Linked DNA regions of Oryctolagus cuniculus. The protein of the gene in region 1 purifies or fractionates together with the protein of each later gene. This does not show direct contact. Links are inferred from orthologs where the notes say so. Each region holds a gene or a part of one and is shown on either strand. Other genes may lie near its edges.

Evidence for each region.
Region 2: the proteins of IQCB1 (region 1) and EXOC1 purify together in Homo sapiens (affinity purification with mass spectrometry; 3 studies listed by BioGRID and IntAct, counting the BioPlex papers as one, with this or other methods). This does not show direct contact. The link is inferred for Oryctolagus cuniculus from reciprocal best matches to the Homo sapiens genes IQCB1 and EXOC1.

Annotation. Positions count from the first base shown.
Region 1 is NC_091435.1:78,062,163-78,066,573, forward strand, and holds part of IQCB1 (IQ calmodulin-binding motif-containing protein 1), read right to left. Parts: intron 4,354-4,411; coding exon 4,205-4,353; intron 938-4,204; coding exon 806-937; intron 1-805. UniProt on the Homo sapiens protein: Involved in ciliogenesis. The function in an early step in cilia formation depends on its association with CEP290/NPHP6.
Region 2 is NC_091439.1:108,598,576-108,602,986, forward strand, and holds part of EXOC1 (exocyst complex component 1), read right to left. Parts: intron 3,049-4,411; coding exon 3,004-3,048; intron 1,802-3,003; coding exon 1,638-1,801; intron 1,105-1,637; coding exon 997-1,104; intron 1-996.

The DNA of each region.
Region 1 (4,411 bases):
CAAAGAGATAGAAAAATAGATGATAGACAGATGGATAGGCAGGGAGACAGAGATAGAAAGACATTGATTCTATCTGCTGGTTTGCTCTCTTGTACAAGGCTGAAGTCAGGAATCCACAACTCCATCCAGGAGTAGTAGGTACCCAAACACTTAAGCCATCACCTGCTACCTCTTCTCAGGGCTCACATTAGCAGGAAGTTAGAATGGGAAGCAAAGCTAGGACTAGAATCCAGGCACTCCAATATGGGATACAGGCATCTCAAGTGGCACCTTAACTATTCTATCAAATGTCTATCTCGATTTTTTTAAAAATTATTTTTATTCATTTAAAATGCAGAGACAGAGAAACAGAGAAACAGACTGACTGCCTATTGTGGTTTTAATTTGCACTTTCTCTAATGACTAAGATGTACCTTTTCTTGTGTTTATTTATCACCTGTTTATCTCCTTTGAGTGAAGTGTTTGTTTTAAATCTTTTCACATGTGTGAATATGGATGTTTAAGTGTACATATGTAAGAATGAATATCTTTGACCTACAGCCACATATACTTTTTTTCTGGACGGCTCAAACTAGCTAAAATTTTGCTGTACTATTACAAAAGAAGTGGTGATTTAGTATGGGAAATAATTATTTGAAGCAAAGCCCCCTTTACACTGTACCATAAGGCCATGTATCCATAAAATGACTCTAGATCCATAAGTCTATCTTAACTTATCTTATACTAACCATAAGCATACTGTCAGCAAACACTGTGCAATGGAATAGGGTAAAATATGGATACTATGATACAGACGCCTACATACTGGATGTCTTCTGACATAGTCATCCACTCGTTGCTTCAGCTCAACTCTGCGTGCATCGGTGAGTTCTTGGAGTCCTTGCCAAGGAGAAACTAACTTCTTTTTCTTACGGCACTTTGCGAGGAATTTAAGAGCCTGGGAGGCAAAAAAGAATATTTGTGGTTTTTCTCCACTAATAAAACATTTTTTCTTCCTAAAACATGATAGTGACACCATTGCAAGAGTTCTTATCTCTGAGTGTATGAGGAGGAAGATGGGAATGTGATAGAGGAGGGAAGATAGTGATGTTTTTAAATATACAGCTGTTCCTCAACTTACCATAGGGTTACATCCCAATAAATACATTGTTGAAAATATTCTAAGTCAAAAATGCTTTTAATACACCTAACTTACCTAATAACATGATATAGTTTTTACTGAATGGATATTGCTTTCACATAAATTTTAAGTCAGGGACCATTTGTATAGAGTAGTATTTTGTTTTTAAATTTTTATTCATTTGAGAGAGATGGGGAGATGGACTGGGAGGAAGAGCATGCAAACAAGCTCCCATGTACTGGCTCACTCTCTGAAAGCTTGTAACAGCTCCTGCCAGGTGCTGAAGCCAAGCCAGGAACTCTGCAGATTTCCCATGTGGCTTCCTGAGTCATCACTACTGCCTCCCAAAATGCACATGAGCAGGAAGCTGGAATCTGAAGCAGAGTCAAGACCTAAACTCATGTTTAGGTCTCCAATATGATATGAGTGTCTTAACTGCTAGGCCAAATACCTGTCCCTCTCCTTTCCTTCTATTCTTCCTTTTCCTTGATTTTTCTTTTCTGTTTCTCCTTATCTGTCTTATACCCCCTGTTTTTTGGTACCACCTCAAAATTATGATGCTTTCCTGGGAACTTCTCTCTGCTCCTAAATCAAAAAAGCCTCTGTGCCCTCTCTCTTATCACTTTTCATCATACTTTGTCATTGTAGGACTCTGAAATTTCATTTATCTCCTGATTTGTATTTATTTTCTTACTGCCAATGGTTTGTTCCAGTAAGTTTTCTTGTGGTTAGTCATGGATGGACACAAATAATAGTGTTATGGTACTTTTATGCTATAATCTAGTATGAAGAATTAGCCATCATTCTGGCTTCTTCCTTTGATTTTAAGAGATGAGACAGTAAGATAAGCAAATAGTAGAACATTAAAAAGGGAAATGCAGCCATTCTTTAAATTTAATTTCAACACTGAAAGGATAGATAATTTAGAAAAGGCAAGTAATGTTATATAATAACATTTTCTCAATTTCCCAAATTTTAGTTACTGGAGAAACAATGCTGCTGCTTTCACACAAAGTAAGAGTAGGGCAAAAGGTAGGTAAAGTCTGGCTTTTATTTCTTGCTCTGTCAAAGACACTAACAACCGGTTCCTCCTGATGGACAAGTTCATGAAAAGGATATCCCTCTTCTGTAATTTTCAATGAAGTTGATGAAGTATTTCCTTTTCTTTCTTACCCAGTTCAATTTCAGTGCAAATGGAAATATAATGAAAGTTACAAATATAATTTAAAATTTTCTAGTAGCTATATAAAAAAGTAAAAAAATGAGCGAACTAATTTTTGTATATAGTGAATTATGTAAAATATCATAACAATATACATAAGTTGCTAGAATTTCAACATGTAAAAAAGTTAAGATAGTTAACATGTAAAAGTGTTAAGATAGTTTTTCCTTTTTTATACCAATTTTTAAAATCTGGTGGGTATTTAACAATTATAGCACCTATAAAGTTACATATATAACTATATATCAAGTACTCCATAGCCACATGTGCTTAAGGGCCTTTGTACATCTACAGTGCATCTTAAAGAAGAATGTTTTCAAAATATTGCATAATGTGCCCTTTACTGATATTTCTCTGCTCTAATTTCCCTACTACTTTTCTTTTTTTTCCCTCTACACTTTTCCATTTTTCTTTCTCTTTTTGAAAGTGATGCTCATTCCCTTTTCCATTTTGGCTAGCTTTGCTTTGGCTTCACTGTCATTTTAAGTAGTGAGATGCAAAGACTATAAACATGACCTTGACTCATCCCGTTTTGTTCTTACTTCAACAAAGACTTATATTCCTTTATGGGGGTTGGGAAAATATGAAGCAAACTTAACTCATCTCTTTCCTCTTGTGCCACTGAGAAGTATGAAAGCCTGAACAACACTGCCTTCATAGGCCTCATTTATTTTCCTCTGATAACCACTGCTTCTCTAAGGACTGGGAGAAAACCTGGGATCTCACCATATACTAAATGGCCCTTTACAAAGTATTAGGCAAGCTAGTACATCAACTTAATAAGGGTCAAGCTAATTCTTCGGGATGGGAGACTCAAAAGGAGGTAGCCATGAAGTAAAAGAATTAGAAGGGAGCCAAGGGTCCCTCTTGACATCATTGGGTTAATTCTTAGATGGCCTTGTTTAGCAAAGGGGATTACATGTAAGTCAGTGCAGGGCTATTTGTTGCAGATACAACCTCAGGTATCCAAAGAGGCATAAAGGAGGAGAAGGTGGAAGATATTTTTATCTCCCTAGTGTTTATTCTACTGCATTTTGGATGACTTTAAAATATCTTTATAAAAAGTTAATTACAGAGAATGTTCAAAATCTATCTTTGTGAAAAACTGAAATTGACCTTTTGTTCAACAATAAGGGAATATTAAACTTACTGCTTCAAGACCTGAGATCTTAATATGAAGCTTAACCATGTATAACAGAATAAATGGATATTAGGAGAATTGGTAATTAAATAGAAATAGGTAATTAAATGAAATAGGTAATTAAATGAAAAAAACAAAAACAAAAAACCAGTCTTGTGCTGTGCTTCTCCATGTTACTCTGCTGTGGGTAATTCCCAGGAAAATTATCACTTAACAACAATATTCCTCAATTCAATAGTTACACTGATCTAAGTATACTAATACTTAACCTATATATTTAAAAAAATTAAATATGATACGCTATACTAGCACAGGACTTTGCAATTTACAAAATATATTCCCATATATTAGGTCACCTGGTCCACATAACATCTAAGTGAAAAAGGTAGGGTAAACACCTATTAATTCATATACCAAGCACATGCTGAGAGCTGATAACAATAAATAAGACTTAGTTTCTCATCCTTGAGGAACTTGTAGCCCAGGAAAGAAAAACAACAGCACTGCAGCATGGTAAATGATGTACAAGGTTCTACCCAGTACTAAAGACCACATGTCTAAATCAGCTTGGCCAGAGGTAAGGAGCTTCTTACTCTATAAAGGAAAAATCTAAGGCTCTAGAAAGCTAAGTCACTTGAGCAAGGCAGTAAATTCCAAAGTCAGGTTTGAACCCATGCTTTTGCCTCCTAATCCAGAGCTGTTTTTACTACATCAGACTCACTGCTCTTTGAAGTGTGATGGCTGCTTTATACTCTGTGAGAAATGGCCTCTGTTGGCGAAAATTTTTCCTTTCCCTGTACCCTCTCCAGTGTTTCTGGATAATCAATGCTGCTTTCTCTTCCATTTCCCGATTGTATTTCTCCACCTCACCTAAAAAGATGACAGACACTATCACAACATATTCACTACTATGCCTTCTCAAGTTTTT
Region 2 (4,411 bases), on another chromosome or scaffold:
ATCAAAGCCAGAAGAGAGACCCAGATTCATAAGAAAGGTCTCACCTTGTTTGTTTGTTACACCATAATGTTTATACTCAAATATCAGCTTTTTACAAAACTGTACTTGGGATCCAGCACTGTGGTGCAGTGGGTTAAAGCCCTGGCCTACACTGCCAGCATCCCATGTGGGCGCTGGTTCAAGTACTGGCTTTTCCATTTCTGATCTAGCTCCCTGATAATGTGCCTGGGAAAGCAATGAAGGATAGCCCAAGTCCTTGGGCCCCTGCACCCACCTGGAAGACCCGGAAGAAGTTCCTGGCTCCTGGCTTCAGATGGGCTCAGCTCTGGCCATCATGGTCATTCGGGGAGTGAACCAACGGATAGAAGACCTCTCTCTGTTTCTACCTCTGTCTTTCAAATAAATAAAATAAATCTTTAAAAACTAAAGGCAGAGACACAGAGAAGCAGACAGAGGTCTTCCATCTGCTGATTTACTCCCAAGTGCCCACAACCGCTAAGTCACAGCCAGGAGCTTTGAACGCCATTTGGGTGGGTCTCCCATGTGGGTGGTAGGGGCCCCAATTCTTGAACCATCACCTGCTGCTTCCCAGGGTGCACATCAGCAGGAACTGGATTGGAAACCAAGTACTTGGGACTCAAATCAGGTGCTCTGATATGGGATGCAGGTGTTCTAAGCAGCGACTTAACCGCTAGGTGAATGTCCCCCTAAAATAGCTTGTAACCAACCTTTTCACAAAGCAAAATGAGACACTCCTCCCACCCCATAGTTGAGCAAATGATTAGACTTAAGATATTCCGGAATATTAAAGTATGCCCCAACTCCAACTATCACTGTTTTTATTATTTTGTGATATGACAAGAATTGTTTTAATGACGCTTACATTGTAAATCCTTTCCTTTCCTTTTCTATTAACGTCGAACTTGTGAGTACATATTAATCAGACTAATTATGCTGAAGATCATAAATATTAGCTGAAATAAATGGGAGTCATACCATAGCTCCAGGTATACTCTGATGTTGCTGCAGTTTGAAAAATTTACTTATGAAATCCTGTTCGGCCAAACACAGGGGCTCCAGTTCACTGAGTACCTGTTCAAAGATCTGAAGAAAACCAAAATGATCCTGTAATGAAAGAACTGTAGCAAATGCTTAATATCAGTAACCTCTATCCATGGATCTATAAACTTAATAGAACTCCAAAGACAAACTTCCAAAATTGACAAAATAACAAGATTACAGGACATACCTAAAGTAAAACAGTTACATTCACTTCAGATCTGGAAAGAAGGATATGCAGATATACTTTTAAAACTTATTTATAACACAGAGAACAGAAAAGCTATTATATCCTCTTGATTCATAGTTGCTCAAAGAATTTAGATGAGATATAAGCACTTTATGATTTACCACAAATACAGGTTAATAAGGCTTTTGTTACTGAATTGATACTTCACATTTTAGCTGCCATGTGACTAGTACTTTTTTTTAAAGATTTGCTTCAGAATTTGCAAGTAAGACATGATTATTAAAGGCAGCCAAAAGCACCAAAATTTTCAAATACTGAAGCAATCACAAAATGCAGTTATAAGAAAACTGACGCTAATGTTTAAAAACCACTTGTTGCTCTACTTTACCTTATCAAACTTGGTTCTGTCAGCAACATCGAGGTCAGAGGCAGACATGTTCCCCATATCCAACAGAGATGATGACTGAGATCTGCGATTCCCTGAACTCTGAACGCTGAGTTTATTTAGACTAGAAGTAGATCCAGTTAACTTCCCGGAACTTCCATGAAGACCTAAGAGATAATAAGACTGAAAGTCGTAATCTCCAGGAATAAACGATCCAGAGTAAAATTCAGTGCTATCTTCCACTGTTTTGGTGTTCCAGTGCACAAGGCCACCATATGGGACAGGCTGTACTGTGTACTTACCTTTCATTAACTCTGTGTCCTACTGCTGAGCATTCTGTAAAGGACAAAACTACACAGATCCACAGAATGGCACTGAAAGGGCCTCTACAGACCATGTATCTCTGCCCCACCGTAAAGGTGCGTGGTGGTATCTCTAGACTGAAGGCGGGAGGGTTTCCTTCCCAGTCAGAAGACAGAAATACAGCTGATGGGCACGGAGCACCATGGAAACCTACTAACATGACTGCTCTACCTGCCACTAAAAATCCCATATCCCAGTGTTACTTGCCTCTGTGTCAAAACAACAAGTCTATCAATACTTGATCATTTTGCTCTATACAAAAAAGTCAATTATATATGATTTGATTTAATATGTTCCTAAACCCAGAACCTCTGCATTTCCAGTAAGTGAATTAACCATAGCTCTTTTAAAACTAAATAACATGAAGAGAAAAGGGCAGCCTGAAAACCTGCTATACTTCAAATACAGTGGAAATGCCATGTACACGTCACTACCCATCAGCCCGGGCACTGGTGTTTAAGCAGGAAAAATGAGAACACAGAGCTGGACAATACCCCATGTACACCAAGGAATTAAAGGATTAAATTTTTAGAAGAAAATGTGATTGCTTTATTCAAAATGAAGTAACAACAATACATGAAATAGTTTTAAAACATTTTTCTTGAATATTTGTCAGTTAACATACCATTTACTAGTGGTCAGAAGGTTCAAATGAAGACTAATAAGGACTTGAGACAAATTTTGGCTTTATTATGCAAGATCTGACCATATATATAAGACATTTTATAATTTCTAGACACAGCCTGAAAACAGAAGTATAATGATTAAGCCTTTTCGTGAGCTTCTGACACACAGTTCTACTGGTCGTATACTTGTACCAATACTGCACATTTCTCGGATGTAGCCGTATCACTACCATCACATTGTTGTTGACTTTTCACCAATACCTGGCAATTCAGAGCAACTGATGTTTCTGGGGTTAACTTCTTTCAAGACAAGTAACTAATTTCTAGACAGTAAACAGACATGCATGGAGAACACCTACTAATACACTAAGCATACTCACTCTCTGTTTCCTGTTTGCCAGCACTTTCTTTTCGAGGCAGTGTAGCTGTGATGGATTAGGTTGCAAGCATCAAAGACAAAGACAAGTTAATAAACTGCAATTCGCACAAACCATGCACAAGAGGAAGTTAAAGCTCTAGTTTAAAAGACACATGCAAAGAACCATGAGCATCAGGTAAGGAGAGGTACAAACACACGCTGAGTTGGTCACTACTGTTTGAGAAACTGTATGAGAGAAAACGCTTCATTGGTCTTTTAATGTACTGCTTTTACTCAAATATTCAGGGAAAATATATTTGTTGCCCTCTCTCCCATATTTTTAGATGACTTTTTTTTTTTAAAAGTATGTGAAGCTGTTTCACTTACATTTAAAAGAATGAATTTGAAAGTTTGGGTTTTCTGAGAAAACATCGGTTAAATAATTTAATTCAAAGGAAACTTATTGGAATGAAGTTATTATAGATTTAGACATTAACAAACTGGTATTCCCTGAAAGCCCCTGCAAGGAAGTTCTATTACACTAAATGATTTTATATAACATCCGATTAAAAATGACACAACTGGGGCTTTAAGACCATTTTAAAATTAAAACTATCATGTTAACAACCAGAGGATGGATGGATAGAAGAGTAAAGCTAATGGAACAGATTTAATACAGGAATTTCAACTCTCTTAGGGTCATTTAGCATTTCTTTTATCTTAAGACTTCTATATATACAATATTTATTAGATCAATTTTAGAATTCACCTTAAGACACATTCTAAACTCAAATTAGAAGTTAATGTGAAAAGCGAAGAAAGAAATCATAGAATGAAACAAAATTGAAGCATGTAACTATAATCTAAAGACATCTTAAAACCAGGGTGATGTGTCAACTGACACTATCCTTGCCAAACTTCAAGGCAAAAGCCGGACGACACGTCGGGCCCTTGACAAAGCAGTGATGAGCGTATCTTCCTGGCCTTGGCTGCCTGAGGGGCACATGAGAGGCTGGACATTAAAGGGGCCAACATGGCAAACACGATCATTCTGGAGGGAGCACAGCAGAACACTTTCTGGTGGCTTGTGGTGTCACGGATTTATGTTGATCAGTTTCACTGCACAGCCTGACACATTCTTTCATACAAGCCTCATTTCTTCAGTGGCCAAACAAGAACACAGAGCTAGTCATAATGCCAGTTAACTATGATTTGGGGCTCATGAAAAGCTTATGTCTTTTATCAGCAGCAAGTGAAAATACACAGGAAAGATGTCAAATGTCTTTATGTACCCCTATCTGAGCATCAGCTTCATAGAGGGCAAGGGCTGTGCTCACTGCTGCATTCCCCGTACTACAACAGTGCCTATCACGTGACAGATAACTAGTAGATGACCGGCAAACATTGACGGAGGCAATCGTCCAGCCAGC